Linked DNA regions of Lonchura striata. Each later gene encodes a partner of the first gene's protein in a complex. Links are inferred from orthologs where the notes say so. Each region holds a gene or a part of one and is shown on either strand. Other genes may lie near its edges. The genes, in order: TRAPPC9 and TRAPPC12.

What was found.
Region 2: TRAPPC9 (region 1) and TRAPPC12 share a complex: the UniProt entries of both Homo sapiens proteins name them as parts of the multisubunit TRAPP (transport protein particle) complex. The link is inferred for Lonchura striata from reciprocal best matches to the Homo sapiens genes TRAPPC9 and TRAPPC12.

The regions. Positions count from the first base shown.
Region 1 is NC_134603.1:5,094,980-5,111,120, reverse strand, and holds the start of TRAPPC9 (trafficking protein particle complex subunit 9), read right to left. Parts: upstream 8,546-16,141; 5' UTR 8,457-8,545; exon of another isoform or gene 8,412-8,456; intron 6,768-8,411; 5' UTR 6,751-6,767; coding exon 6,167-6,750; intron 1-6,166. Other genes in the region: CHRAC1 (chromatin accessibility complex protein 1), read left to right, coding at 12,927-13,064, 13,667-13,793, 14,873-15,018. UniProt on the Homo sapiens protein: Functions as an activator of NF-kappa-B through increased phosphorylation of the IKK complex. May function in neuronal cells differentiation. May play a role in vesicular transport from endoplasmic reticulum to Golgi.
Region 2 is NC_134605.1:96,161,813-96,177,811, reverse strand, and holds the start of TRAPPC12 (trafficking protein particle complex subunit 12), read right to left. Parts: upstream 7,628-15,999; 5' UTR 7,575-7,627; intron 7,425-7,574; exon of another isoform or gene 7,298-7,424; intron 6,834-7,297; 5' UTR 6,829-6,833; coding exon 5,626-6,828; intron 2,529-5,625; coding exon 2,412-2,528; intron 1-2,411. Other genes in the region: EIPR1 (EARP and GARP complex-interacting protein 1), read left to right, coding at 7,748-7,789. UniProt on the Homo sapiens protein: Component of the TRAPP complex, which is involved in endoplasmic reticulum to Golgi apparatus trafficking at a very early stage.

The DNA.
Region 1 (16,141 bases):
GTGGAATTGGAGAATCACTGTTTCCTTCACAGCTATAATTCCTCTCAAAGATGCCACTGCCTCCAACTCCGTCTCTACGCTTTCAAGCAATCTTTATCTTTATGAACAAATTAAAGTTCTTATTCTCTCAAAACTGTACTTTATAAACATTCTTCCAGATTTTCCAGCTAGCAGATAATTAATTTCATAAATATGAGTCATACAGCAAAGGAAAAGAGATGATGCCTGACTCCTAAATCAGGACCTATTACCAGAATAGTTTCAATCACACAGCCTCACCACCAGCTTAACTAACCTAATTCTCCTGCTGATTTATGCCCATGTCAATATGTCTGAAGTTTGAAAGCATTTATTCACACAGGCATCAATAAATATTGCTCATAAAACCACTGTTCTTTGGGAAACTCTCCTTATTTATAGACAAACGGATAATTTATTCCTGGTGATGAATAAATTTATTACTAATTATTCAAAAACTGAATTCACTACACCTATTTTTAGGCTCTTCAAGGTATTGCCAAGATAGGATTCACCTCCTACAGTCCCTGCAAGTCATTGCCATCCTCTTGGAAAATACCTTCTCACTAATTATAGAGTAAGTTTGTCCGAAACAAATGTATAAACTGTCTTTATTAGGCAGTCACAATTAAGTACAGTGAATTCAATTACTTCAAGTATGTCCAAAAAGACAAAAGGCAAAGACTTCATGGAAATTAAACCCACTCTCTACAGACAGCAAAACTTAATTCACTTGACATTTGGGAAAAAAACAGTATCCACAATATCAGGCCCTTAAAATCATGTCCAAGGGACTCACTGTTCCTTCTATGCATCCTGGGGTGCAAATTAATTGGGAAAAAAATCCTATTGCATATATATTCATATTTATATCATATATATATATATATATATATATATCTCAGTATAAAATGATTGCTCATTTTAACACCAAGCTAGTTTTGCTTCACAGCTTTAGCTGAAGATCCTGAAAGTGAGAAGCTTACAGATATCTTCTCTCTGAATTATTTTTTATTAAAACACTGTTTAAATATTTCAGCTCTCTCCTGCTTAATCCTAACCTATCTAGGGACAGAAAACCCACATGATTTAACAACTACTTCCTCTAGATAAGAGGACAACCTCTCTCTAGGCCAGTTCCTTGCAGCACCCTACTGCCAAGAGCAGCTCCTTTTAATTTTTCCTCTAGAAGATAATTCACAACATTAAATTTCAAAGAAGCACACAAAGTGTCCCCATACAAACCCCTTCCTGAGTGTGATGCCCTCAGAAACATCCCCAGGGAAGGCAGTGCCACTTCCTGCAGGTCTACCCATGGAATGCTTGCTTGGTGTCAGTCACCTCCTCTTAAGGTCCTCACCACACAGAAAAATTCCACTGACTACAAAACTAATTTAAAATCTAATTTTCTAAAGTTAGTTGGGTTAATGCTCTACCAAACACACTCTTATATTCAGAGGAATCACCACAATCATGACCACTGACCACTGCTACCACTTCAAAGTGGAGGACAATAAATCAGTTCCAGGAACTATGAAGAACTACTTGATTTCCATTTCTGCCTTCTTTGCTCTATAGGATATGTGCTTTATTCTTTCATCTCCAGCTCTTTTCTAGGATTCCAGGATAATATTATGGAAAATTTAGTGCAACAGTATTGTAGTTCAAGACAGAATTTATTTTCACTGCAAACCATCCAGAAACAAGTTTGACGGAATTTCTGGATCCTCAAAATTTGGCTAAATTTACAAACAAGAAACATGCAAAATCAATTCTCAAAAGTGTATTCATGCAAAATGCTCCAACAAAAATTTCCATCAAGTTCTACTAATTCCAGTTAGCATGCAGAGCTATAGATATCACCAATCATAACATTATCCAGACTTCAAGAGACACGGCTACGGCACTGAATCAACTGCCAGAACTTTTGAATTTGGAAATCAAACACAGGCAGCAACAGCTTCATGGCTTTGGAGTTTAAAAAATAAAGCAAATTCCAGAGGCCAGCAGCCACCTAAGCAGACTATGTGTGTCCTACAAAAAAACTCAGCATTGCTACCAAATATAATTGCCAAATGCGCCAAAAGGGGGCAACTGCAGTGGTGAGGCTCCAGGCAGCAATTATTTTTGTGTGTGGTGAAAAAATAAAAATAAAAAGCAACACTAGAATATGCAATGAAGGCGAAGTGAAGAGGCAGGACATGGGAAAAAAGCTAACTATTTTCAAAGATACACAATCACATCCTACCTTTTTAGACCCAACAACAAACTCACAGGGCAGTATGAGAGAAGAAGGGGGGGGAAAAAACAGAAAGGAACAAAACAGAAATTAGAAGGACAGAGAACAGAAAGAAAATTAACAGCCACATACACATACTGAGATCATCAACTTTGATAAATCAGTGCACAAATCCCAGCTATGACACATCTATAAAAAGGGCCCTACAGCCTCATCCCTCCACAGCATTAAATGATGCCAGTATTGAAAAAGAAAGAACCTAAGACACAAACTGATGTAAACAACATTAAAATGAGCTTATCCAAGTAGATTTACAATCACACCTAAGTATGTTTATTTTTAGCTGAAAACAGAAATAAAATAGAAAACTTAAAATAAATGGGATTTTCAGTATTTCTGGCACAGATGTTTCCTAGTTTTTAGTTTGTAGGACGTTTTTATCATCATGAGAACATGTGCTTCCATCGTTCTCCATCAATCTCACACCCTCTAAAAGTAACTATCAAGTGCAACTGATTTCAGAAACTTTTTCAACTATCCTCAGCAGTCCTGTGACCACATAAATATTTTATCCAATTTACAGCTGAAGAAACAGAAAGAAAAAATAAATCAATTTGCCAAAATCTCTTTTGGCTGAATGCTCCAGGAATCAAACCAAGCCTCTCAGTCCTACAATGTCCCTTTAACAGGACAACTTTTCATTTTAGGACATAACCCATTATGTTTCAAACATATAGTTTTCTACCAGCTAAAAAAAGTTCTTCTGCACACAAACTTCAGTGAGTTTGTGTATGTTGTCATCTCAGTCAGCTCTGGGAATGTGCTTCTCCTGCTCATTACACAAATAACCTGCAAAAGACAAAGATCATCCTCACTTTTCCCATTAATTACCCTATTTGAAATAATAACTCCTCTTCCTAATTTACGAACTTTGCATCTTAAAAGAAGCCAATCAGTTTACTTCCATGGCAATTATCATGCATCCAAGCTAATGAAAGTCTTCTAACTGAGTGAGGGAGATGATCAGGTTTATATATAAAGCTCTGATCATCACATAAGTATTAACGTTAATATTTGACCATAAAATACTTGAAGAGCATCTTTTAAGATACAAATTATGTTCAATAGTTTTAATTAGTCTCCAAATCAAGTGATCAGAATTATGTAGTGCATGTAAATTCTTAACATATTTTCCCTCAATCTATCATCCCAATAGCTCCAGGTTACAGTTGCACCACACATTTAATTATACTTTTGCTACACACTGCCATTTAACTTCAATTTTAGAAGATAGAGGAAAAGACATGTTTATTTATCCTAAGTAGGTATCCACAACTACAGCAGCAGAGACACACCCTCTGTTACAAGAACAGAGTGTGTCTTCTCCGCCATCTATTTAATAGAGAACATTTGTGGTTTTAAATAATTGATTACACACTGACTAGGATGTCAGGGTACATGATATACAAAATTTGCAAATAGACAGAAAGTATATAGAAAAGATCAAGGGACTTTCTTTGCCTTTAACCCTTTAGAAATTTCCATCTGTTCTAGAAAAAGCTGTTTCATTTGCCTCAATATCTAAGTATCATCATGTTTTTATTTCTTTCTGTAAAATCATGATGCTGACAGACTCAAAACAAAGTAGCAAAAGCTGTTCTACCAGATGTACCCACTTCCTGCATTCAAACAACCTTGAGCCCTCCCTGAACAACATTACACATCCAATCCTGCAAAAACAGAAACTGGTCTCTACTGAGGAAGGTCCTTCCTAGCCCTGTTTCTCCCTGGCATGGAGTGCCTTCCCTTAATTATTCAATCTGTCACTACAGAAGGGAATGTGCTAAAATAAAATCCTGTGAATTGCAAACCAAGCACCAAAAAACTCACAAATAATAAAATGGAATGTTATTATCACCAGCTCACATCCAAAGGCTTTGGCTTGAAAGTCTAAGTTAGTTTAGTAAACTGATCCGAGTTCAACCTTATTTAATGGACTTGAGCTTCTGCTTTAGAACAGAGGGCAGAGATGCATCAGGCTACATTAAAGGTACCTAGAAAGGCTCCTGTGCAGAGATGCTGGAAATATATTTTCATTTAGCTTTCTGAAGTTTTAACGTATAAATCCTAAGTATTATAACAATCAGAAGTACTAACTCCACAGCAAAATAGAACTGAAGAACTTTCTTACTATGGAACTGAAAAATTAGAATATTTAACACCTTCTCCTTGAGCAGTTTGGTGCAGCAAACATTTCAAGTACATCCATTGATCCAGACCTACTGAAAATCTGTTTGATATTCAAACCTCCCAGCAAGGGTGTGTGCAGAGCTGAGCCAGTGATTAACTCTGGATAAACCCCTGTGTCTACACACAGGGTCACACACCTTCCATTCTGCAAAGAGCTAAAGCACCACACGGAATCTCTTTCAAACACCTGCTTGGAGATGTGTGGGCACACATTCTGCTGTCACTCCAGCTCCCCACCAGCTCAGAACTTCACAAGGAGTATTTCCCACTAGTAACAACACAGCCATTGCTCAGAAGTAATTCATTCATCTAAGAAAGCAATTTCCAAAACGCAATTTTTTATAAGACACAACTGAACAGCAGAATTCATTTTGATTTGGAGATTCTTGGCCAACAATTATAATTTTCTACCTATCTGGAAGAGGAAAATTTGATTACGTTCAGCCAAATTTCTTTCAAACTGAGTAAAAGACAAGATTGTAAAAAGGCTTGTCCAGTCTTCTCAACTTTGCCACCCACAAGCAAAAAGTAATAACACAGTAATTCATATTGATAACTGAATAACAGTTCAGGGACAAACAGGAACCAACAAGTCACTGCCAGTTCAAGTGCTCATCAAAGAGGTGCAGGGCACTGGGGTACTGATGGTCCTTCAAGCCACCACAGGGAATTTAACAAAAGACTTCAAACTAATTAGCTGGAATTCTTTCTTCCTGTTTCCAAGGCAGGACCAACTACAGAGGCAGAGCTGATTAATTTGATCTAAAACCTTCACAAAATTGCCTGGACTCCTCTGAGCTTTTACACACAGTAGAAACCTCTGCTGGCATCCCTACAGTACAACACAAATATGAACACCACTATTTACACACATAGTGTGAGTTTTCTTTGGACTTCCCCACCTCTGCCAGGACAAAAGGTGGATGCTTCCATCCCATGGATTTGACTGCAAACAGCAGAGTCAAACAGATTTTGCACCTGCCTGTAGCTATCAAGCCAGAATTACTTATCCCTTGCACAGGAACTATGCAACACTCAAATCTGACAGATGAGTATGCAAATGAGGAGGAAGAAAAATGGGGGGCTAAAACTCTAACCTACGAAAAACCAAACAGGTAGCAAAACAAGACAGGTAAAAAGCAATAACAAATAATTACATAAAACAAAGAAGGACAGGGAAAGATGCTGGACTTTGTCATCAAAATAAACAGGCACTATCTCATAGAATGAAAAAGTAGACAGAGGTTTAAAGGGAAAAAATACAGTAAGTATGATTAGTCAAATACTACTCAACATTACATAAAAATAGTTTCATTGATGCTGATTTTTTTTATTAATACAGTATATCTGTAAAACATTGGAAGTCTTCCAGCAAAAAGTCTTATTACAGCAGAACCTGTCAAACCACTCCTGTGACTTCTTCCTGCTATTTGATGAGCTTCATCAATTAAATGTATATATAAAAACAAGCTCAGAACATCAACTACAGTGAGACTACATGTTAGATTTCCTTAAAACTACAGCAAGAAAACACAGAAAGATCAGAGCACAACCCCTGTTGGAACAAGGCTCACCTTGTCCTTTCTAATAGGCTTATCCTAAAGGCTGGCAAGTGTCACAGATGTGTTTTTTTAAGAGCTGACAAAAGTAGCTGCTTACCTACTATCGGTGTCCAGACCTACAAAATCCTTCTTCTCAAAAGGAACACAGAGCAGGGGGATCTTGTCTCCGGACTTATCAGTGGCTCTGTCAAGACGCTTGGACTCCAGCACTATGAAGAGAGACTCAATAAAATCTTCTATTCTCTTCTCCACAGTGTCACACTCATCATAACTGGGATAAAACGCCACATCTGTGCGGGGCTGCTCTGCAATCTCTCCTTGAAGCCCAAAGACAAACAGCCGGGAATCATAGAGAGTAGAGCCATACATTTCCTTCTGAAGATGGAATTTTTCAAAAGTCTGAGGCCATTCCTTTGCTGAAGAGCACTCTGTGATAGTGATCAGCCCCACGACTTTGCGGTGTGTCTGAAAATCCCCCCACTCGTTGTTCTCTGGGGGATAATGGTGCCTGTATCGGATGTAGAGCACTCGCTGCGAGTCGCGCACGTTAACCTGGCTCACGGCTGAAATCCGCTTGTAGATCCTGAAAAAGCTCTCTTCAGGTACAATGCCAATGGGCTGAACGACGACCAGGAGGGTCTGATGATCCTCAGCACACTGCATGTAGTCAGGAACACTCATTTTGCATCAACTGCAGGCTAGTGAAAGAAAAACGCATATTATTATTTAACCTTCAGAAGTACACAGGGTTGTTGAATCAAACCAGGGCTTTGATGCTAAACACTTCTGCAGCCTGAATTTATGTGTTACGGTATCACTGTTTGTTTCATTATTTTACTAAATCTTCAACCATGCAACCTCCTGACGTTACACTGTACACAAGGAGAACTTTTAGTCACTTTTCAAACAAAAATCTGTAAATAAGTGCTTTCCAAGTGAATCTCACTCCCTGTGCAGCTACACAAGCCAGCTCACACAAGTCTCTACCACAGCAACTGGGCAGAAATACCAGTTCAGGAGAGCCTATCAGACTCAGGCTCTTCAGTCCCATTTTCTTGGTGAAATATCCAAAATTGCATGAGGTGAGATGTAAACAGGCACCAAATCAGGATCACCAAACTTTACACAGCTGTCAGTACTCACACATGGCCAAACAGAGAAAAATTAGGACCAGAACACCTATTTTTGAGGAAAAGCAAAGTCTTGCTTTATCAAAACACACATAGGAAAGGATCAGGCATTGTTTTCTGCCTTTACATTTAAGTATTTAGAATCCCTTTTCTCCTGAGCTCTCTAAAATCGATTACTGCAGCTGAGCCTTGAATGAAGATGCACATCCCCCGAGTCCTTTCATGTCTGAGACCTCCGGGACACCAGAGATCCCCTTCGTCGTGAACTCCAGCTCCAAAGCCCTGAACCGTAAATACCACCAAAAAAAACATAAACAATACCCCAAACCTTCACAAAAACAAACACACAGACAAAAGAAAAAAAAAAAAAAAAAAAAAAAAAAAAAAAACAAACGCAGCCCATCTTTAGACTTGACACCATTGGTTTTACAAGCAGAACGACGAGTCCCGAGTCCATGGGGACACATGAGACAGAGGAATAGATGCTTGAGGAAACGGGCTCCTCAGAACTATGGACCGTAGCTCCCTTTTCCCACCGCACTGCCCGGCTCTGCCCTGCAGCCCCATTCCCGGGCTGCAGCCCCATTCCCGAGGTGCAGCCCCATTCCCAAGGCGCAGCCCCATTCCCGAGCTGCAGCCCCATTCCCAAGGCGCAGCCCCATTCCCAAGGTGCAGCCCCATTCCCAAGGTGCAGCCCCATTCCCGGGCTGCAGCCCCATTCCCGAGGTGCAGCCCCATTCCCGGGCTGCAGCCCCATTCCCGAGGTGCAGCCCCATTCCCAAGGTGCAGCCCCATTCCCAAGGTACCGCCCCATTCCCAAGGTGCAGCCCCATTCCCGGGCTGCAGCCCCATTCCCAAGGTGCAGCCCCATTCCCGAGGTGCAGCCCCATTCCCGGGCTGCAGCCCCATTCCCGGGGCAGCAGCACCGTCCTGACACCTCCCCCAGCAGAGGCCGCAGCGGGTGGGAGCTCCCCCCTTTCCCCGTCCCCGGGCATACGGCACTTTGGGCCAAGTCCAGCAGGGAAAATGAACTGCAGCAGAGCGAAGCGGAGCGGAGGCGCGGCAGAGGCGCACACCCCGCTGAGGCCGTCAGGGGCAGCGGCTCTGGGGCAGCGGCTGCCGGAGGTAACCGGGGAAGGGGCACTGACAGCCCGGGCAGGAGGCGCTATGTGGGCAGCGGGGGCTGGCGGTAACCGGGGAGGGGGCACTCACAGCCGGGACAGGAACCGCTCTAGGACAGGGGGAAGCGGCACTCACAGCCGGGACGGGGGACGCGGCTGCCGGGCGGGGAGCGGCACCCACAGCGGGAGCGGAGCCGCCCCGCCGCCGCCGGAACTGACGGCAATGGCCGCTCGGCTCCGCCCCGCATGCGCGGCGGGCCATGGCGGGGGAGTCCTGAGGGGAGCGGGGCCGTTCCCCGCTGCCGTCCGCGGTGCTGCCCCCGGGGCTTCCGCGGGGACTGGAAGCCTCTGCCTGTGAACGCGAGGAACGCAAAACAGGAGTGGACGGGTGACTGATTCACCTGGTGAATTTCAGCCGACTGTGTATGGAAACCTGAAGGGCTCTAGCTGGCCCTTTGAACGAAGTGAGCCTTCCTGGCATTCCCAAATCCCGAAGTTGGTGTGGTGTCATAGAATCATCCAGTCCAGCTGTCAGCCCAGCTCTGCCACTGTAACCCCTAAACCACATTGCCAGACTCAGATGCCTCTTAAACCCTTACAGGAATGGTGATTCCACCACCACCCTGGGCAGTGTATTCCAATGCCTGACCACCCGAACAGTAAAAAAACCTTTTTTTTCTAACGTCTAACCTGCACCTCCCCTCTCTCAGCTGCAGTCCATTTTCTCTGGTCCTCACCCCCTTGGCACAGCAAAAGATGCTGGCCCCAGCTCTCTACGAGTTCCTTTGAGGTAGTTGTAAAGAGTGACAAAGTCCTCCCTGAGCCTCCTCGAGTAGAGGGGGATCTTCCTCTGAGAGGATTTCTCAGTCATGCAGCTTAAATGGCAAAAGTCTGAAAACTCTGGAAGTACAAAAACTCCCGAACTATAAGCCTTGTACGAGAGTTCAGGTGAATTTCTGGTGGAGGATGTGGGAAACTTAATGATGTTCAGTGAGGCAAAGTGTAAGATGCTGCACCTGGATGACCAAACCCTGGTATCAATACAGGCTGGGGAGGGAATAAGTGGATTGAGAGCAGCCCCACCAAGAAGGACTTGGGGGTGCTGGTGGATGAGAGGCTGGACATGAGCTGGCCGTGTGTGCACTTGCATCCAGAAAGCCAAACATGTCCTGGGTTGATCCCACAGCATGGGCAGCAGTGAGGCAGGGGATTCTGCCCCTCTGCTCCACTCTGGTGAGACCTCACCTGTAATGCTTCATCCAGGTCTGGAATCCCCACACAAGAAATTTCTTGGAGCAGGTCCAGAGGAAGCCATGGAAATCAGAAGGCTGAAGTGCCCCTCCTGTGGAATCAGCCTGAGAGAGTTTGGGTTGCTCAGCCTGGAGAAGGGTCCATGAACACCTTATTGCAGCCTTTCATAAGGGGCCATGTCATGACTTAAAGCAGTGGCACGCCAACCAAATAACTTCAACAGAACTCACAGTGTTTGAAAAATTTGCATTTAGGTAGAATCATAAAATCATTTAGGTTGGAAAAGACCCTTAATATCATCAAGTCACACCTAGTACTGCCAAGGCCACCCCTAAACCATGTCCCTAAGAGTCCCATCCACATGGCTTTTACATCCCTCATGGGATGGTGATTCAACCACTTCCCTAGGCTGATGGTATGAATGCTTGACAACCCTTTTGATGGAGAAAATTTTCTTAATATCCAATCTAAACCTGCCCTGGCACATTTGAAGCTATTTCCTCTTGTACTGTCACTTATTACTTAGAAGAAGAGATTAACCTTCACCTGGCCACAACCTCTTTTCAGGTCTCCTCAGCCACTGTGGCGCAAGATGTGGTCTCCTGGCAAGTCTCTCTGCTTCTCTTGCGTTTCCCCAGTCTGGGAGTTGTGAAGAAAAATAACAGCATAAAAGGAACTGAACAAGCTTTAGCCTTGACCTTTGGTTATCTTCCAAAAAAATGACAACATTTCCCAGAGGGAAAGGAGCTGGAGAGATGGCAGTACAAGCTGGCCTCAGAGTCTCAGACAGAAGCTGACCAAGCCCAAGAGCAGCACAGCCTTAGGGCCAGAGAGGGGTGGGGAGTGCTCAGCCCAGTCAATCACAGCCTCTCTTCTCCTGCCAGGGCAGCTCCTGCTCCCGTTGTCCCTTCTCTGGGAGACAGAGACTCACAGAGGCAACTACACCTGGCCAAGCTCTCAGCTGGCAGAGGGGGAAAGAACGGCTCTGAGGAGCTCAGAGCTCCTTCACCTGTGCCTTCCCACCACCAAGCTCAATACCCTCAGAAATCCTGGTAGTTTGATGAGGGTTCATTTGTATATTGAAATTTCTTTCTCATGAAAGGCTGCAGTAGTATTTTTTAAAAATTCACTGCTGGAGTAATGTCAGCTGTCTCCACAAGATGTCACAAGACAGTAAGGATCGAGAAAGAAACCAATCCTTCCAGACATCCAGGCAGCATCCCAAGATATTTGTGCTTCCTTTCAGATATAACGTACACACAGTGGCCTCACAGAAGATGTAATCTCAAGAGAATTATACAGCCTAAAATATACTGATTATCTGCAATAGCTAACTATAAATTATGTCCCCAAATACAGTAATTTTGAAATTTATCACATACTGTTGTTATCCTTGTACTTCCAGCTGCTCATGGTGCTGTATTTTATTAATAAATCAGGATAATCTATAGCCTTGGCCTTATGTACTGGGCAAATTCTGTATCAGATAGTGACATTCAGTCAACAAATTTGCTGTGTTTTCCATTTAATGATTCTTCATGGGTACAGTTCTTTCTCCCCTAAATTCCATGTGAATTATTATTGTGTATTCTGAAAAAGCTCCTGCTTTTCTCTCTCATATTTAGATAGTTTAGTGGCCTTAGCAGATTTCTTACCAATACAAACCATCAGGCATGATGTTTATAAAGCATATTGGAAACTTTTTGATTGAAACCATTAATGAATTGATGCAAATGATGTGTCATTACTTCTGGAAGCGCTCACACAACCTGCAGCTCTTACCCAAACAGGCACAGGCAAACTTCTGGAGCAAACACTCCCAGCATCAAAACCCCATCCACAAGCATGTTACAAGCAGCCCCATCATCACTTCATAGTTTACACGTACCCTCCACACCTCCCCCCCAGCTCTGACAAGTGTCAGGATGACCAGACACATTCCCTGGGACTGTACTACAGCGGCAGAGGTGTTGAGCAGCCTGTAATTGCAGTTTGGGTTAACAACTTTGTAGGCAGTGGCCTGTAATCCTGGCATACACACAGATCGAGATGCCCAGTTGGCATTGAGAACAAGCTCCCCACCCTCCTGTGCCAGCCTGGAGCTGAGGAGCCACGGTGAGAGGTGAGGAAGGGGAAGCCCCAAGGCTGCTCCCGCCTGTGCTGGGACAGCAGGAATCCACACAGGTGGGAAGAGTGACTGGAAAGCACTGGAGCTGCTCAGCACAAAATGACCTGGTGGAAAAGGACCTGGAAGTGCTGGTTGACAGCAGGTGAACGTGAGCCAGGGTGTGCCCAGGTTGGCAAGGAGCCCAGTGGCCTCCTGGCTTTCCATGTCAGCACTAGTGTGGCCAGCAGGACCAGGGCAGTGACTGTCCCTCTGTGCTGGGCACTGGGGAGGCCACACCTCGAGTGCTGTGTCCAGTTCTGGGCCCATCAATTTAGGAAGGACATTGAGGTGCTGGAGCAGGTCCAGAGATGGGACACAAAGCTGCTGAAGGGGCTGGAGCACAAGTCTGATGAGGAGCAGCCGAGCGAGCTGGGGCTGTTGAGCCTGGAGAAAAGGAGGCTCGGGGGTGTGACCTTATCACTCTACAACCACCTGGCGATCGGTCACAGGTTGGACTCGATGATCTCAGAGACCTTTTCCAGCCTACTTAATTCTGTGATTCTATGAAGGGACTCGCAGCCGCCGGAGCCTCAGCGCGCCCGGGCACCCCCGGGGCCGCCGTCCGCCCGCGGCGGGGAGGAGAGAGCCGGGGGAGCCGGGGGCTGCGGCGGGCGCGTCCCTGTATTGCCGGGAGATGTAGGGAGCTGTAGGGAGCTGTAGTCCCGGCTGGAGAAGGGTCCCTGTATTGCGGGGAGATGTAGGGAGCTGTAGTCCCGGCTGGAGGAGGGTCCCTGTATTGCGGGGAGATGTAGGGAGCTGTAGGGAGCTGTAGTCCCGTAGCTCCAGGGAGCTGTAGTCCCGGAGCTGTAGGGAGCTGTAGGGAGCTGCAGGGATCTGTAGTCCCGGAGCTGTAGGGATCTGTAGTCCCGGTGCTGCAGGGATCTGTAGTCCCGGTGCTGCAGGGAGCTGTAGTCCCGATGCTGCAGGGATCTGTAGTCCCGGAGCTGTAGGGATCTGTAGTCCCGGTGCTGCAGGGATCTGTAGTCCCGGAGCTGCAGGGAGCTGCAGTCCCGGAGCTGTAGGGAGCTGTAGGGAGCTGCAGGGAGCTGTAGTCCCGGAGCTGCAGGGAGCTGTAGTCCCGGAACTGCAGGGAGCTGCAGTCCCGGAGCTGCAGGGATCCGCAGTCCCGGCTCCGCCGCCTACAGCTCCCGGCGGGCCGCGCCCTCGCCGCCGCGGGGACGGGCTGAGATGGCGGCGGCGCGGCTGAGCGGCAGCGAGAACCGTCTGGTGTCGCTGCCCCTGTCGCGGATCCGCGTCATCATGAAGAGCTCCCCGGAGGTCTCCAGCATCAACCAGGACGCGCTGTTCCTCACCGCCAAGGCCACGGTACCGCTCGCCCTGCCCTGCCCTCGGGCCCCGCGCCTCCCCGTGCCCGGCCGGGGCCGCCGCTGCGGAGCGCTGCCGCGGCCCGGCTCCCGCTTCCCTTCTCTGTCCGCGCCCGAGACGGAGCTGGCCTCAAGCTGCCCGAGTCTGGACTCATAGAATGGCTTGTGTGCGAAGGAACCTTAAAGAACATCTATTTCACAGCCCTGCCACGGCCAGGGACACTTTACACTGTCCCAGGGTGCTCCGAGCTCCGTCCAGCCTGGCCTTGGACGGCTCCAGGGATGGGGCGGCCGCAGCTTCTCCGAGCAACCTGTGCCAGGGCCTCAGCACCCTCAGAGGGAAGGATTTCTTCCTATTAACTGATCTAAACCTACTTTCTGCCAGTTTGATGCCATTCCCCCTTGTCCTGTCACTACATGCCCTTGTAAATATTCTCTCTCCATCTTTCCTGTAGACTGCCTTCAGGTACTGAAAGGTAATGAGTCTGTGCACTGAGTGCCCAGTGTACGTGAAGTTAAATATGGTGCTTCTGCCTGTAGACGGGAATCAAAGATATGTGTGCATACTTAGTCTGACTACGCAGTTTTGTTTTAATTTTTTAGGAGCTTTTTGTTCAATATTTGGCTACATACTCCTACAAACACGGCAGAGGGAAAGAGAAGAATGCTTTGACTTACAGTGACCTGTCTCATACAGCAGAAGAGTGTGAGACCTTTCAGTTCCTTGCAGGTATTGATAACACAAGGGTAAATCCTGTGTCTACTTTGGAAAGTGAAATCTTGCTCTTTATGCTCTGTTTTGTGAGGACCCAGTTCTCCTACAGGTCGTTTATCTCTTGGTTAGCATTCAACTGGAACTCGTTAACTACTTGATGCTTCTGCCCCTCTCAGCCCCAACTTATTAGGCTAGCCCAGAGATACGAGGCCTTGAGGGGAGGAACATCAGGAGATGGGCAAAGATTCAAAAGAGACTCTCACCCCGATGTGGTGTCCAGCTTCTTTATTCCATGAGGTCCAGGGGGAAAGCGAGCAAACAGAGTTATGGGTTTATCTAGGCTCTGGGCAGGGAGGGCTTCTCTGCCTCTCAGCCAACCCTGTCAGGGCGGGAAGGAGTGGACACTTACCTGATCAGAGTCACAGGGGTCCCTGGAAATGGGGAAAAGCATAGCCCAAGCGCACTGTAACACTACTTTCCTAAAAACATTTCTCTGTGAATAGGGATTTTTCTGCTGTCTCTAAATTACAATCATACTGTATACAGTTCTCAGGATATTGCCTTAAGCATTTCCTAAATTCCAGCAGTTCCATCTGAAAGCTTTCAGCTTGTGAAAGAAGATCATTGCACATCTTTAGGTGAGGAGTTATGTGGACAAAAATGACACATAGGATTCTATAAGTTTTGAGAAAAGAAACTTCATCATATTGGTCCCTCTATGCTTCTAGATACACACACAGACACGTTTTTACTGATACTTGGATTTTATATCAATGGCTTATTGGATCTAAGGCAGTTGGGCTCTGTTTTACATCAAATAATTCACATCAGCAGACACTAAAAGGTGCCAGTAATCAGTCACAAAATAGAGTCCTTATCTTTGGTTACTTGTACTGTAAGTGGGTAACTCCCTCCTACTCTTACAGCTTACAGTGTGTGGGTCAGGCTGACTTACCTGGTTATTCACCTAAGGTTTGTTAAAAGTATTAATATTTCTTTTTGTCTTAATTTCTTTAGTGATTTTGATGGAACAGTATTCATGAGGCAATACACATATTCAAATTGACTAAAAAAGCAACAATTCTGCCTTTCAGATATCTTGCCAAAGAAGATCCTAGCTAGCAAATACCTAAAAATGCTTGAAAAAGAGAAGCGAGATGGAGAAATGAGGGAAGACGATGATGAGGCTGAGGAGGAACAGGATGAAGATGAAGGTGTTGGTGCTGCTGTTGGATCTTAAGGCCAATGGAGAATTGTTTCATAGTTGATCCATTTTCTATTGTATAAAGCATGTTATTTTTGTGACTGAGAATCCAGATGCTGGATGTATTTATACACTGAGCCATCTGCTTTTGCTTTAAGAAGTTAAGAAATTGAACTTTATACTCGTTGGAGAATGGAATTCTTCCCTCCGAAACATGGTGGGGTAGGAAGAGACACTGCAAACCTGCCAGCAGAGCTTGGTCAGATGATTTGAAATTACTTTGTCTGACAATCATTACCCAAATTTAAAATTTCTTACAGGCAGCTTTCAATTCAAAAGCTCCAAAAGTGGACCAAGTGCATTAAAAAGGTCTGTAAAAACAGCCATTTGGGCACCCAAATGGGAGAGGAGATCCTATCCCAAGAGCTAATGGTGGTTCTGTAGCTGTGATGGTAAATGGGGTAGAAAATTAAGTACATATGTGCATCCAGAACCCTTTTCTTGAGTGAACTCCACTTCTGCAGTTTCTCTTGCCAAAATGCACATTGAAGTCTGTTAATTGTGGGTTCTTGAGAAAGAGCAGCTCCTTTACCATGTGCATGACAGAGATGATTTTTTTATGTGGTTTTGGTTTGCTTTTCTTTTTTTTTACTACAGAAATGGCAACCGTCCTGTGTAGAACTTTACATGCAACTTTTTCAAATAAATGTTTTGTATGAAAACTTGACAATGGATGCAGAAACTTCCTGCAATTCTTTCCAGTTTCAGTCACACACGGGCAGTGTGGCCATGTCTGAGAGAGAAAAGTGACCAAGATCTGTCCCCAGGGGTGAAGAATGCCCCAGGTAGGCACAGGAATGTTAACAGGTAATAAGAACCTCCCATTCCAAAAAAGTTGGGCAGCAAGTCAGCCAGGAATTTGTCTCAAGCAACACCCTAATTTGGAGGGTATGGTAAAGACTTACTAGAAGTGAATAGCTGAACAGCTGCTCTTGGGTTGAAGGCACAACCATGCTCAGCTTCTTTTAAAACTTAGCCGGGAGCTCCAGCATATCCACAATCCAGCACATTCCATGTTCTTAGAAAGCCAAGTGGAGCTTAGGCAGGTAGGGTCAGGGACTGGCAGAGCTTCTGAGCCATACCAGAAATGCTCCTGCTA
Region 2 (15,999 bases), on another chromosome or scaffold:
GCAGCTGAAGACCTGTGGTTTAAAGATTTGGTATACTGGTGAGCATATTTTTCCATCCACGCAGGATTAAAATAGTAATGAGACACTAAGGAAGCAGTTTCCTCTGAAGTAGACAGCTTAGAATACTGATTTTATTTTTTTTCCCAATAATACAATGGAGTTTGCTCAAGATCATCTGAGAATTTTATCCTAACAAATTTCTTCATAACAGGACTAAACATTCACTTTAGGTTTCAGCTGTCACTAGTGTCTTCCTACAGTCTGTGATAATTGTTGGGACTTTTAGATGGAAACCCATCTAAATTTAGCTTGTGATAAGGAACTGTACTATTAGTTCTCTATTGACTTAAGAGTTCAGACAACAACTCACACATAAACACCTAAATAATAGATATCAGTCTAAAGGTGAAATTTATCCTAATTCTAAGCATTTCTGTTCTGCACTGCAAATGCATTCAAAGTACACTCTTCTGAGTTGCTGCAAGGGATTGAATTGAGTGACAAAAAGATTTCATGGTCATGTGTAGTGCAAAAGGATACCAAATAAACAGCTAAGGAAAAAAAATCTTAACTTCTGGAAACTGCAAAGCAATATTCCCAATATTCAAAAGTTTTTAACTAGATCTTAATATAAATATTGCCTGCAAGTTGTCCTTTGCATTCAAAGATTCTTTTGCTGAATATATTTGGTCATGAATTCACTCATAAAGAAAGTAAATTTTGTGACTAGCAACAGAGTAGCTATTATATGTCATTCTGGCCTATTATGTATGTAAAAAGCATATATCTTTTTAGTTTATATCATCTAGCATAGGATTTTAATGTTTTTAAGTCAAAAATCCCTTTAAATTTAAAGACTGTAGTCAATCAGAAATAAATTTTCCACATTTAGACTTTAACAAGAAATGCAATGTTTGCAAGGGAACAAAAAAAGACCAACTAATTCTCATCATAAAAAGAAATTAGTTCTACAAATGACACCAAGAAAGTTATTTTGCATACTCAAAACCAGCCAACAGCTAATGACTGAAAGCCTTGTAAACCAAAGAACATTCTAAGTTCTACCTGAATGGTTTCTATTTTATAAAAAAAACCCACTGTTCTAAATAAGGCAATTAAAAAAAAAAAAAAAACCAAAACATAAGTAAGGGTAAGTGCCATAAGTAACAAAATATCCTACAGCTGCAGACTGCCTCTTAGCTTCACTGCCTTGAGTCTAAAGCTTTAACACTACTCTTCTGATGCTTAAGAGCAGGCTCAAATCAAAAACAGTTGTCTGCAGCAGCATATTAATTATGGTACAAGACAGTCTGCAGCATAGAAGAACATCTCGCATAGACACCACTACCAGGCTAAATAGAAAGGCATTTCCCACACATCAAAAATTCTCTTCCAGAAGATGGAAAGTAAGCATGGAAAAAAAAGTTTTTCCTACTTAAGACACTGATGTGTAAAAGACTTTTGCATAAGATTATTTTCCCCTCCCAAGTCAAGTAAAACACTGAAAAACGTGTCAAGTAAAACAGAAAAACCAGAAAAACACGTGTCTAGGGTGGAGATCACAATCTGTTTTTTCATATTTAGTTTCTAAAATTACCTCTGAATTCCTTTTAACAGTGTTTGCTGAGACCCCCTAGACTACTCCTAACATGACAAAAAAGGTTATCTCTTTTGGAGCATTACATGTAAAGTCACACAATCAAATTAGAAGATGTTAAATATTAAATAAAGTCTTGTCCTGATAATTCCTCACTACTTTTCTTTAGTAATTTTTCATCCATTTTTTAAGAAATAAAGTAAATCCAAACCATCTTGTTATGTCATCAGATTAAGGCTCAGTCATATAATAGTAATGAATTTTACACAGTTCTTAAAGGAACAAGGCAAGATTTACAAGGCTGCTAGACAACTATTTTCAGAACAGAAATATTTACATTATTGAAAGGATTAAGTTCAGCTTTCTTCTGGAAGTAATTTGCTTTAGTTTTCTGCACTGAAGTAAAAGATCAGACAGTTGAAATTATCATATCAGTTTGGCTTGCCATTTGCAACTTGTATGTCTTTTTGTACAACATTCAGGTGAAAACTTAAGCACATACACAGGTTAACAAAAACATGATTAAAATCTGTTTTGTAACCATTACATAAAAACTCACAGTCACTTAAAATTAATTTTTGTAACTTTTGCATGTAAAAAAATGTTTACTATGTGATTTAAACCCAAATAGTTAAACCCCAGCATCATTCCCATTAAAGGCTATTGTAGTTTGGTTAGTACTATTGAAGGGTCAGGAACAGACTAATACACAGGTTTTTTCCCAGTTTCTCCTCAGTCAGTAGCTCCCAATTATCTTGAGAGAAACAATATTAAATATATATTAAATATATATTATATGATGATTGTTACTTACAATTAGCTGTTTCAAGCCTACAAATGACTGCTCTACAGAGTTGGCATTTAAAACTTGTCTCTTCACTGCAGCCTGTTCCCCCAAGAAGCGAAGCATTAGGTCTTTTACTGCATCTCCCTTGGTGTTCATGGAACAGAAAAAGAAAACAGATAACAAGACTATTTAAAACATTATTTCAGCAAAATAAAATGTTATGTTACATGTGTAATAAATATAACTGCATGTGTATATACAGCATTGGAATGAAAACTTCTACATTTACTCTATATAATTTGCTATATTTTTTCTTCCATGGATAGGTTTCAGTTAGCACTGACACATTCAGGTTCATTTGCTTCTTCTACTATTGTAGAAGATCATTTATAAGATGATTCACAAATCTTAAAAATAAAATATTCCTCAAAGATCTTATAAAAACCAGAAATTTTTTGTAATGTATGTTAACATTGAAAGGTGCAATCTATTGATCAAAATAAACATGCACACACAGTAAGTGAGCCTTAAATATCCACCAAAAATAAACTTTGAGAGATCATAAACCAAAGTAAACAGCAACCCTTCAACAAGTGTTTCAAATTTCAAAAGAACTAGCTGCAGTCATCAGTCAGAGAAACTGGGTTATATGAGCTCAATAGCTGCCTAAAGAGACTGAACTGCATATAATAACAGCAGAGCTTAGCTATGACAAAGACAATTGATATTAAGTGTTTCAACTTTCTCCATGGACAGTGATGGGAAATACATTTGTGTTTTCTGTCTAGCTTCTTAAGGAATGAGAACAACTGTTTCACTACATGGAAATTTTTTACCTCGATGTCACTTATCCTACAAATAAACAACTGATCTGCCTGACAGAAGAGCCCAAAGAATTAAGAAAAGAGAGTGTGAGCAAAATGACATAAATACAGAAGATTTTTTAAATCCCCCTAACAGTACTTTTGATCCAACTGTCCTTTGGTGTAGGAAACAGTAAAAATGAATGTAATGAAACAAAGGACACTGACAGAAGAGAGGAACTCATGAAAAAAGGTGTAATGGAAAGACTATAAAAAGCAGCAGATTTTTCTGTCACTTTGAGAGCACTGCTACAGACAATCTTTACCATACACAACCCAATGTAAGTTTAAAAAACAATGCTTTTTTAAATGATTGTCAAAAGGTAACATGCAGCTGAAATAAAAATCATTCCGTATTTTTCTTGGTGTGATTTATCTACGTAAGACTTGTCTTACAATACATTTTCTGAGCAAGCAGGGCAAAAAATAAAGTCCCAAGCTCATCAATGCATATAATGTGAAATTTCAGTCCTTCCCTGAAGCACACTTAAGGTTCACTCACTGCAAATGCATTTTCAACCAACCTCTCTGTCCACTGCATGTAGCTTCGTTTAACATCTTGCATTAACATTCATCATTAGCAAACTATTATTACCAAAGCTGTAATGACCCTTGTTGGAAGTTACTTTTAACATTGAAAATATACCTCCCACAATATTTCAGTTGACACTTCAAGCACTCTACAATTACAGTTACAGTTAAATGCACAATTTGCAATACTATGGAACAATGATACCAAACTAGGAGATGTCAAATCAGTCAAGGCGTGCACTCAGACCACAAAAAAGCAGTAACTGAAAGTGAGGAAAGTTTTCTAAACATAAAGCACTTCAGAACTTGTCCCTGTGAACATGTCTAGAAAACTCTTATAATTCTTAAACAATGAAGAAAGCATTAGGATTTCCTTTAATTGCACTGATGATTTTACATCAGTCTTCATAGAAATACATCATACGGACATTGTCAAACATCCTCCCTTCAATTATATACTAAATGGTAGATCTGCATCTTTGCACTTGCCCAGATTTAGGAAATAAATAGCAGAAACAAGCCTTTAATCCCTGACTGCGCTGAGGAAGGTGAAAGAGAACTATTGTAAAAAAGGAAGCTTGCAAAAAGGAGGCCATCATCCTTGGAGACTGGAGAAGGGATCACTCCATCTGTCTGATTAGCTGTCAGGAGAGAAAGAGTACACACTGGAATAACTCATCAAGGTCTAATAGATATTTTGGGTACAACTGGAGGAGGAATAGCTAGCTTCCTCTTACAGTGTTTTGTTTCACGCTAATTATCTGGCTCTGTGATAGCAAGCTTATGTTTTAAGATAAAGCAAACCCAAGAGGCAGCAGCAGTGTGGAGTATGTCTGGTATTTATTGCTTGTGACAGAAACCCAAGATTTTTCGAATAATTCATCTATAAGTCTGGACCTGATTCACCCCAGAAACTCTTCTGATAGCTACTACAGATTATCAAGTTATTGCAGACTGCTCTCTGCTTGTATATGACTATTGACTGATGGTCTTTGTTATGCATAATTAAGGATTAAAGCATCCAAACTCTAAACACCATCTATCTACACAACAATTCTATTATCCAGAGGCATAGATACCAAAGAGTAGGATTAGCCCGTTTCAAGAAAAAAACCAAAACATCATGATGGTTAGCCTGGCTGAGCAGCCAAGATAAAACTACTGAGAAATCCTGGATATGTGTGAGTAAAATTTCCCATATTCTGAAAAAAAAATGCTTTATGCCTTCTCATCTGTTAGAAATTGACAGAAGACAAAAAATTACTTTTCACTACTATATTGTTTGCTTTGTCATCTCCTCTAGTCTTTTTTCTTTTAATTTTGGGGTTATCCCTTCCTAGCAGCTTGCTGCAGCACTCAATCTTTCTTAGAGGTTATACATTTCCATTGCTTAGGGAAGATAGAAATGATGCCATTTCAGTCAGTGTCAACATTGTTCAGACCACTGTGAACATGAGTGAAATTATTTCCCACTCAATCACAACAGGGAATTCCACAAAGCTGTCTGCTTAGACACTTTAGCACAGCTTAGAGATGTGTATATATTCCAAATGTATTATCTTACTCAGAGGACCAGAAATAAAGTACTTTAAAATACAAACAGCTTTGGTTTCTACAGAAACTGTCAACACTTGTTTTCAATGCACAATGTCATGATGAATAAATGAGATCTGGATTTAGCCTCTTCCTGTACAAGGCAGCAGTGATACTGCATTTTCTAATTAGAATTGAAGTAATACATACATCAGCAACAATATGAAGTACTATGACATACAGATTATTGGACAGATCTTCTACACTATTTTTAAAATATAATCACAGAGGAAGATACAGTAATATACTCTTACCTGGATATTATCAAATTTTAATCCAGGCATGGTGAGATTCTCCTTGTCTATGAACACGGTGCTGTATTGTTGTGTGGCAACTGAAATGAGAACATTTTTTGTCTCCTCGCTAGGAATCCAAGCATCATTTCTTCTATCTAGTTCACTCATATTTAAGGCTGTGGCAAATGGGTCATCACTCCCAGCAAAAACAGCTTGGATTTGTGAGAATGGCTTGGGGGATTGAGTTATTTCTAGAGATGATGGGGGACCACCTGTTTCAGGTCTCCCATTTTGCACAGGGAAAGTAGGGTTAGATGAAGAACCATCTCCACCATTAGAAAGAGAGGACATTTGTTCTGGAACTGAAGAGCTTGCACTGGGATTACTAACAGAAATAAAATTGGATGTTGTAAATGAATCAAAAAAATCAGAGGCTAAAGTATTAGTGTTAACAGTGTCACCAAAGAACTTGCTTAGACTAGGACTGGGTTGAACCACCTGTGGATTATACTTCACTGGAGTCTCTATTATACTACTAAAGCTGGGAGATTTCACCATCTGAGGCTCAAAACCATCAGGTAGGAACAACTGTGGCTGGGAACTAGCATTGTTTGCTTGGCTGAAGATGGTGCACACGGGAATGGGCTCAGCCTCAGAAGATGGTTTGGTAGTACTGGGTGACAACATTTGGTCTTCAGGTGTGCTCTCATCATTATTTGGTTTTGTTTCTACAGGAACGTTGTTTCCCAACTTTGGTTCCTCCTTGACTACTTCCTGAATTGAGTCTTCCTTTAAAGATGCCTGATCATCCATTCCAATCTCAGAAATGTCTTTAGGAGTTTCTTCATGTTCTGTTTCACTCTCATTACTTAAAAACTCTTCTTTATCCACTTCTGTTTGTGTTTTTTGATTATCTTTATTTTCCATTTGGTCTACTATTTCCTGAAGACAACCAAGTTCACCTGTGTCATCTTCACTGTTGTTTGGGGAATCTGAAATAATGACACTCTCCATCATTTGTTCATTAAGTTTATCTACAAAATTATTTGAATCCTCTGATATAGTTTCATTTCCTTCAGACTCAAATTCATCACCACCAAGATCAATGGTTTCCTCATGAAAGAGAACTTCATCCTGAGTTTTCTGCTGAACTATGTCTCTGCTGTCATCTTCACCTGAGGTGCTCTTTGCATCCTTAGCATTGCTTTCATTATTCTCCATAGTAACTGAAAAAGGAGAAGACACCACCAAATAAGAATTAGTTTTATTGCTTGCATATTGTTCAGGTGTCACAGCAAAACTCCTAAGTACCATACAAATAGTGAAATTCTTGCTTTAAAAAACAGTAATTTCACTATTTCACATCTCCCCTTTGACATTTTTCATTTAACGTTTAATCACAGAATCAATCCTGAAAATATTTTCTCTTTATCTTTTCTACAAGTCGTAAAACTATTGAGATTGAAGACCAAATGCCTCCCACTTGAAACAGTATCATAGAATGGTACCAGAGAATGGTTTGGAAGGAGACCTTACAAGATCATCTGATTCCAAACCCCCTACCATGGGTAGGGACACCTTCCATTAGACCAGGTTGCTCAGAGCCCCATCCCACCTGGCCTTAAACTCCTCCAGGTTTGGGACCTCCCCAGCTTCCCCGGGCAACCTGTTCCAGTGACTCAACACTTGCCTTCCCGGCGGCAAGGACCGCTCGGTCCCGCTCCCAGCCAGGCGAAGCGTGGGCTGACGGCGGCCAGCAGCGCAGCTGCCGGGCACGGGCCGGCCAAGCCCCCGCAGCCCCGGCCCGGACACCCGCGGCGGGGGCGAGCCCGGCCTCCCTCACGGCCTCCTCCTGGCACAGCCCCGTGAGCACCCGCCCACCCGGACGCCCCTCAGGCCGCGCGGCCGCTCCGTTTAATTCTATTCCATTCCACTCTATTCCATTCTATTTCGTCCCGTCCCGTCACCTCCGCGCCGCCGCCGCGTCCGGCGCCGCTCCGCCCGCACTGCGCCTGCGCTCGGGCCGGGCCGGGCGGGGCCGCGCCAGCGCAGCTGCGGAAGCGGCCGGCGACGGGCCGCGCCGAGGGTCAGAAAGCAGCGGCCGCGACGGCGGGTGCCTGGCTGGGCTGGGGGCGTCGCGATGGAGGACGACGCGCCGGTGATTTACGGGCTGGAGTTCCAGGTGAGCGAGAGGGAGGTTTAGGGAAGGTTGGCAGGTACCGGTGCTGCCTTCGAGAAGGCGCTGGCGGCGGCGCCGGGTGTGTGTAGAGGGGCAGAGGAGAGCCCGCCCGGGGGACCGGCGTCCTCCCTGCTCCCCGAGCGGGGACCGGGGCGCCACGGGCACCGCCGGGCTGCGGTGGCGTTTGGTGGCTTTTGGTGGCTTTTGGTGGCGTTTGGCGGCCGCGTTGGGTGTTGAGGGTGGCTGGCCGGCGGGCGGGAGTCGTTCCGCCTCAAGCGCTGTTCTCAGGGCGGGCAGGGCCCGGCCAGGCTCCTTCTCCCCGCGGTGCCGGGGCTCCTGCCCGGGCAGCGCTCCCACTCCGCCTCTGCAAAAGGCTTTGCCTGGCTCTGCACTGGTGCCAAAGCACTGTTCAAGAAATCCCTGATTCTGCCTTGTCAGAAAAAAAAATTAAAAATTGCTTTTCTGAAGGAAAACACGAAACTTGTTTCTAGTAAGTTGCAAATTTTAGTTGGTTATACCCTACCATAAATCTGTGTGAAATTTATGGGCCCTCCCTGTACTATGCGTATATGTGCATTTGTCCCATGTGACAAATCTGTTCATCACATCTGTATTTTATGGCTGTAAGGAAATGGAACTGTCTAACTCAGAAACTTACTGATCCTCTTCTTAGAGGAACACAGGTGTTGTGTTTAATGAGGATTCTGTAAGTTCTGGGAAAGCAGAGTGAGAGGGACCCTAATTCACTCCTCCTTTGCCCAAGGGCATTATTTAGCTGTTATGTGTTGTGGCTGGCTTATCATTACTAGCCATTCTAGCAGTAATACCTGAGAAAAAAACCAGCACCTTCTAACAAAGCAGTTCGTTCTACAGTAGATGTAGTAACAGAAGTATCTACACGTGCACTTTTTTTTTTTCTTTTGGCACCTTTGCTAAAGTATTTGTGAAAAGTAACATACACAGGTTCTTTGTAACAAATGTCCAGTGTACTGAATAGTGTGCTCTGTAGTTCTGACTATACTAATAGACTTCATTAGTAAATTTTGTATATGATTGCATTATGTGTTTGGCTTGAGATGGCTGTAACTTGTACTTCAAAATTAATGAAACTTATACTTAAATCTCTTTTGCAGAAGAGAATATATATCCTGTACTTAATAAAATTCATATCTCATTTCTAGTAAGTCACATATAATCTATCTTCCAGGAATTTGGGAAAACTAGTGTGTGTTGTCTGGGACCTCCATGGACCTGTGTATCCTGCTCCCTCCCATACCATATATCTGCTACACACTTCTTCTCTCCTGTGAAGTATGTAACTTGTTGGAGTTGTCTGGCAGGAGGATAAAGCAAATGCATAAATAAAGTGGCTGTAATAAAAGGAAATTACTGTTAATACAGATCACTTAGGGAGAGGGTGAGGAAAGAAGAGATGATTTATGTGTAAGTCAGAAGGGGAGCGTAGAGATGAAGGCTCTGTTGCTGATCTCCATTAACTCCCCGTGTGTCTTTAAAACAAACTGCATCTCTGTACTTTTTGAAAATGGAGACACTAATATAGAAACTGTAACCTAAAACTGATCTGGTTTTCCAACTTCCATCTCAAGGTCTAACAAGAAAGATGATTATTTTTAATCATAATTTCTTCTGTGTCACTAGATAATAATGGTTAGCTGTATCATCTCAATTATTGCTTTTAGTCTGAAAGCATCTCTTCAGACTAATTTTTCAGCCAAGTTTTGAAAATGTTGGCTTTGCTTCTTATATTTGGGCTCTAGCAGTCAGTAAAAGTCCATCTTTGGCCACTGGAGAAAGTGTAATTGTGTAAATGTGCTTTTTATCTGATTTAAGTGACCATGTTTTATAGGAACATAGAGCTGATTCTTCCTAGGCACTATCCACCAATTAACATTATTTCTGCATGGTTTCTGTTCATTTTGATGTACAGAATGTTCTGATGTATTGACATATATAAGGTAACTTAGAATAATGACCAAATACATTTTTCTCTTTTTTTAATCTCTTGGGTGTGTCTGTACATAATATGAACATTGTACAGACATGCAAATGATGTGTGAATGACACTTTTTGTGACTTTTAAAAAGACAATCTCACCATGGTTGCTCTGCTTGTCCGACTGCAGTGAAAATGAGAAGATTACGGTGGGTGGTGAATGAAAATGTGAGATACTGCTTGAATTGAGGTACTGAGTGATGTGACTGTGGCTCATGATGGTGAATACCAAGCAACAGCAGCAGCTGCAGAACATTTCAATACCAAGGTGGTCCTTCTAAAAGGAATCTTAGTAGAAATAATCAATATCCTCAATGATAAGAATGTAATGAATGAAGTCCCAGGAATATTGCTGCGTGCTGTATTTTGTCAGTGAAGTGATGTTGTTCTTGTCCCATGTAGAGTTGACCTGGGCTTTATTCTCTAACCTGAAATACATGGTATGTCTACCCCATGTTGAATTGGCTTTCATTTTCAGGGAGTCACAATTTTCCCCATGTTTTTTCCTGAGGGTTTAAACAGTGATGTTTTGAACAGGTGTGAAAGCACCACTGAAGCTCTCAAAATACCATGTTTGCCTTAGTTTAGGATTGACTAGATAACATTTATATCCCTGGAAATGAGCAGTGGGAAGAGGTGCTTTCTGGGATAGGCATTTGGCTCAAGCCTACATCTGGCTTGTTTAAAAGCATGCAGAAGCCAGCCAGCATTATGAGATGAGGAAGAGGAACATAACTTATGCCAGAGAGTGATCATTTTGGAGCACGTGTTTAGCACATTTAATGAGTTTTGGGGACACCACAACACTGAGCTGAATTTCAGCATGCTGGATACTCCTACTGTATGTTGCATGGCAAAAGTAAATAGACATGTGAGGAAAAAGGACAGTGAGCAGGAGGCAAGGACCACAGAAAGCTTCCTGGCTGAGTACAGGGCCATAGTGCCCATGGGCAGCTCCAGCAGCACCCTGAAGCAGGCTTGAAAAAAGTGTGCTGATGCTTTGATAGAGTTAGTGTTCTGCATTGTGATCGTTGTGCTTCTTGAATAAGTGATACTTGGCCCATTTTGTGTTGTCTATTATATGTTAACAGGTTTTATGAATCTGAATAGACACTTGATTTTTTAGAACTTGCCTGCTTGCAAGAATAAGATGAAACTTAATTTCCCTAAAGCCAAATGTGTTTTCTTAGAGTAAGAAACTTAAAGCAAAATACCAACTGAAATAGACTGTGGAAGACGCGTGACCAATGTGTGTACACCTACTGTCATCAGTATGTATTGAGACTAGCTCAGCTGATTTACCTGTGATGGAGTAAAAGCCAGGTGTAGATTTACTAGAAGTGGTAAAAGGGGTCTTCCCTGGAAAATGTGTGTTGCTTGTGAGCTCCCCAGGGAAAGCTGTCCTGGCTTTCAGGCTTGGCTCTGTTCCCAGTATGGGAGTGCAGAGCCTATAGCTCCTATGGGCGGTGGTGTTCTCTTCCCTGGGGGAAGCTTTTGTGTTCTCCTGTGGGCTCAGAGAGAACAGCCTAAGCAGAATGTACTTAATTACTTTGGTCCAGTTTTAGCAATGTCTTTGGAAGACTTTGAAAATTGAATCAGTTTAAGAAACTGCCTAATAATGTCTTACTAAAATTCCTAGCTTTTCTTTCAATTCTCTTTCTTCTCTAAGATTACTTGCCTCATGAGTGCCATTCCTGTATATTTTAAGCCTTTGTGGTTTAAAGTGTTACTAGAGGAACAAAAGTAGCTAAAGTGGCAAAGCTCTCTTTACTAATCCCCCAAAGATCTTCATAATGCATGAGGTGAAACAGTTGGAAAGTATTTTTAGGACCCTTAAGCAATTAGTAGGATCTTCCTAGTGTTAGGTGTGGTACAGAAAAATGACAATATAAAGATACAGTGAGGTGAACTTGAAGGAACTTTTACATGATGATTGTTCATGAGAAGTGAATGAGTTTTCTTAGGATGACTGTGCTGTGCAGGTGTTTGTGTATGGATTGCATTCATCGCTATTAGGGTTTACAGATTCTGTCAAGCTTTAGAATAGGGTCAATGCACTAAATATGTTGGTAGTGGGAATTCTTGTGCTGTGAAAGACTTCAGGAAAACAGCTGTCTGAGAGCATTGAAGGTAACCTGGGCATGTGTGCTGCCAACCTTTTCACTGATAGTCACTGCAGCTTATTAGAGTCACTGAGAGAGCCTCCTACTGTGGTGGGAGAAACAAGGCTGTCTTACCTATGTAAAAATCAAAGAGTACTTGAAAATTGAAATTGTGCCAGAAGGCAAAAATAACATTCATGACATTAGCAGACTGGGGCTTGTCTAGAGGAGCAGAGAATTTGTATTCTGCCTCCAGAATGAGGCATCAGCAAATCCAGCTCCTCACCCCAAGTAGCAGTACACTAGTCCTGGTTTTCAGCATAAGCAGATGGTCAAATAACTTTAAATTCAGATTTAGGGATTGCAAGCCAAATACTGTATCCTTACGTTTTGCATTTTAAGTTCACAATTTGGTAGTACAAATTGATTGTATGAATTTCAAATGATGCCTGGTTTGAAGAATATTTTTTCCTTATATTAAATATAATACAAATATTCAAATGTTGAGGTCTGTTTGTTTTCTTGTTTGTTAATAACAAATCAGTGCAATGCATCAGCACAAAAACATTTGTTGAACAAGTACTTTTTTGTTTGTCTATTAATGCGCTAAATAGTAACAGTCAAATTAACAAAACAAACAAGAAACCAAACCACGACTTTGTGCATTTGGCTGGTATTTCAAAAGATGTTGAGGAGTGAAAGTTTTTAAGAAGAAATTATGAACAACGTGTAGAGAATCAATGCATTGCAGTTCCATAATGCACTTAGTTTAAACCAACCTTCTTTACCCCTTTTGAGGTTTGTCATTGTGTTCTTCTGGATCATCTCTTGATGCTGTCAAGTACAATAGACTCTAATCTATTTCTTTTTATCCAAGGTTTTTATTTTTCTGCAGGTGGCCTAAATTGTCAAGGGCAAGGTAGAAGGTGATCTGTGCCCAGCATCACACTGAGCATAGTGTAGGCATAGACATGATGCCCAGTCTCCAGTCAGTCTTACCTGCATTCTGCTACAATGATCATTGTTTCTTTTGCTTTGATACAGCTGTCTGTCGTGCTTGTGTTCTAGGGTTTTAAATGTCCTTTGCATATGTATTTACTGTAGTGGATTTGCAGTTCAGTTGTTGTCCTGTTTTGTAAAACTCTTGCTTTAAACTATGCACATTTCCTCATAGGGCTGTTGATAAATCTGAAATTTGGACATGTAGCCAAAATTTTTTTTGTGGTTCACAATGTTTCAAACTTTGCTTGCTAGTATTTTTTTCCTAGAGTTAGGCCTTCTTTAAAAAAGAAATGGTGTAATTGCATAGATTGTTGCATTGTCTAGCACTATCAGTTAGGTGGGATGTTGAGAGCATGTGTAAAGATTACTTGTTAACTTGCTGCTTATGTCTTTCAGATGTGTATTCTGGTTACTTTCTAAGCATTATGCCAGTTTTTTAGTAAGTAATACTTTAATATCTTGGGTAGAATCCTAAAGTGGTTTGGGTTAGAACAGACCTTAAAGATCCTCCAGTTCCTCTCTCAGCCATGGGCAGGGGCACCTTCAACTAGACCAGGTTATTCAGAGCTCAGTCCAGCTGGGTCTTGAACTCCAGGGATGGGGAGTCCACAACCTCTCTGGTCAATCTGTTCAGTGCCTTACCATTCTCACAGTAATAATTTTTTTTTTTTTTTAATATCCAATCTAAACCTGCCTTGCTTCAGCTTAAGGCCATTCTCCCTTATCCCATCACTATGTGCCATTGTGGAAAATCCCTTTCCACATAAGCCTGGTATTAAAGTCTTTTTGGGCTATATGCAGTTCTGTGTTCTGTAGGTGCAGACTTAGAAAAATAATAATTTCCACTGGTTTAGATTAATCAATATTCATTTTACTATACTTTTTTGCTTATTTTCTATCTATGAGCTGTAGTCATAAGGCAGGATGCTTTATGAAAGGTTCTATTTGCAACTTGCTCTGGCAAGATGACAGAGTTAAGGCACTTTCCTTGATCTTGAAAGCACTCCAGATTCAGCTGTATTGTTCATTACAAGGATTACTCGGTGTCTTCAGCTGTTGAAAGAACTTCTTTTTCTCTCAAAGTAACTCAGAGTAGACAAAACCACACATTTTTGTGACACATGGAAATCTATTGTGCTAATATTGATATTATGAATAGGAGTCTTCCTAATTTATGAAGGCTTCATGAGTTTGAATTCTGTGTCTGGTGTATGGATGTTGCAGGGTTTATTTTGTCAGGGAATAAATAATAATGTTTCTTCTTATGAAATGTGTCTAAATATTTTTTTTCTTATGCCCTTTTTTTTTTTTCTTTCTGAAAAATGGAAAATTATTTTAAGGAAGAGTTAGAAAAGCTGATGATATAAATGTTGCTATGTATTTACATAATTTTATTTTGGGCACTTTGTGTCCAACTTTATGCAGTTTTGAAAACAGCCAGACCTACTTGAAAAGCTTTGAAAGGGCTGGAAACCTCTTTTATTTCTTTATTTTATTAAAGATCCTGGAGGTCTCTACTTCTCTTTGATGTATAAAAACAACAGAAGCTTCTTTGATTGAAGAAGATACATAGATGTTGGCTCATTTCTAGTGTTTTCTCAAAATAATTCAAAGCAGGTATTTTAATGAATGAATGCTTGCAAATGAAAATAAATGCTTGCAAAGATCTGCAAATGTAAATTCTGTTAAAGACAAAAGCTTTTCTGCAATCATCTTGATGGACTAAAGTTGTGTCTGTCAATCAGGAGCACTCTAGACTTGTAGATTAGTGCTGCATAAATAAGAAAGTAAAGCATATTGGTATGGATTCCCACTGATCTTTGATCTGCATGAGTGTTTTCCCCCACTACATAGATATTATAAATGTAGGTATAGGTTAGTAGCTTGTTACTTAGGAGCTTGTGGCATTTTTAAACTTTTTATGCTCTATCTTACACAAAATATTACACTGTTTAAGTTGCACATTTCAGATTCTAGGAAGGAAGTATCTGCTCTATACAAGTCCAGAGATGATTCAGAAAAATTAATTTTTCTTTACTGCTATTGCCGGACAATGCCTTGCATGGCTTTGCTTTATTTCAGAAAAGTCAAATATCTTTAAGTTGCTTTTCTAGAATTAAATTGCTCTAAGTTTGGATATTGGGATTAATATATTCCAGATATTCCCTTCCAAGCTTTTAGACATCTTCTAAATAGTAATTTGAAAATAAGTTTTAAATAGAATGATATTGAAGTCTTCCTGAATCCAAGGGTAACAAGCTGCACAACAGGATGGCAGTGAGAAGGGCCATTCAGCAGTCACCTGAATCCTTCATCGGTATTGGCTTGAAATACTGCCTTAGTGTCTGGAGAGATCTCAGCTATGCCAAATAGGATGTGAATTGCAGAGATTTATTTTTAGATTAAATAAATAATATTAAACAATATTATTAAGGTATCTCTTGCATGGAGAAACAGCAGCTATTCCTCACAATATATAGTTGCTAAAAATGCCTTTAAGTATTCATTTACCTTCCATTTACTCAAAATTATCTGAGAGTCTCTACTAATGACTAGTGCAAACCTAGTGATTGTGGCTTTAGTTCAAGCTGTGCTTTATTTATCAGTGTCTCCCATGGCCCTTAACTGCTTGGTTTTGCTTCTTCCAAGACTGTGGTTGGTGTAACTTGAAGAAGCAAGGCAGACTCTAGCAATGCCATTAACATAACAAAGAAATAACATTGTGACAAAAGTTTTAAAGATAAAATTAAAAAAAAAACTCTCATGATTCAGACACTTCTTATCTCTAATGGGCTGCAGCAGAAAAAAGGAGGCTTGGTTTTTAATTTGGTTCTAAAATTGGTGGCTAATGATGAGAAAAAAATTAATTTTTATACAGGCATACTCAACCTGAGTGGTGTGAAAACTCTTGCCTCTTCCTTGGATACCATGCTGTTTTTTTAACAATAGTTAAATATTGTCCACTGCTCTGTGGAGTTTTTTCAGATGATAAAGGAAAATAGTTTGGGAGAGATGCTGCATTTAATGTCATCCCTGTTCTAATGAAGATCAGGTAATGTATTTAGCACCTGTATTCCTCAATCCTCACAAGTATGA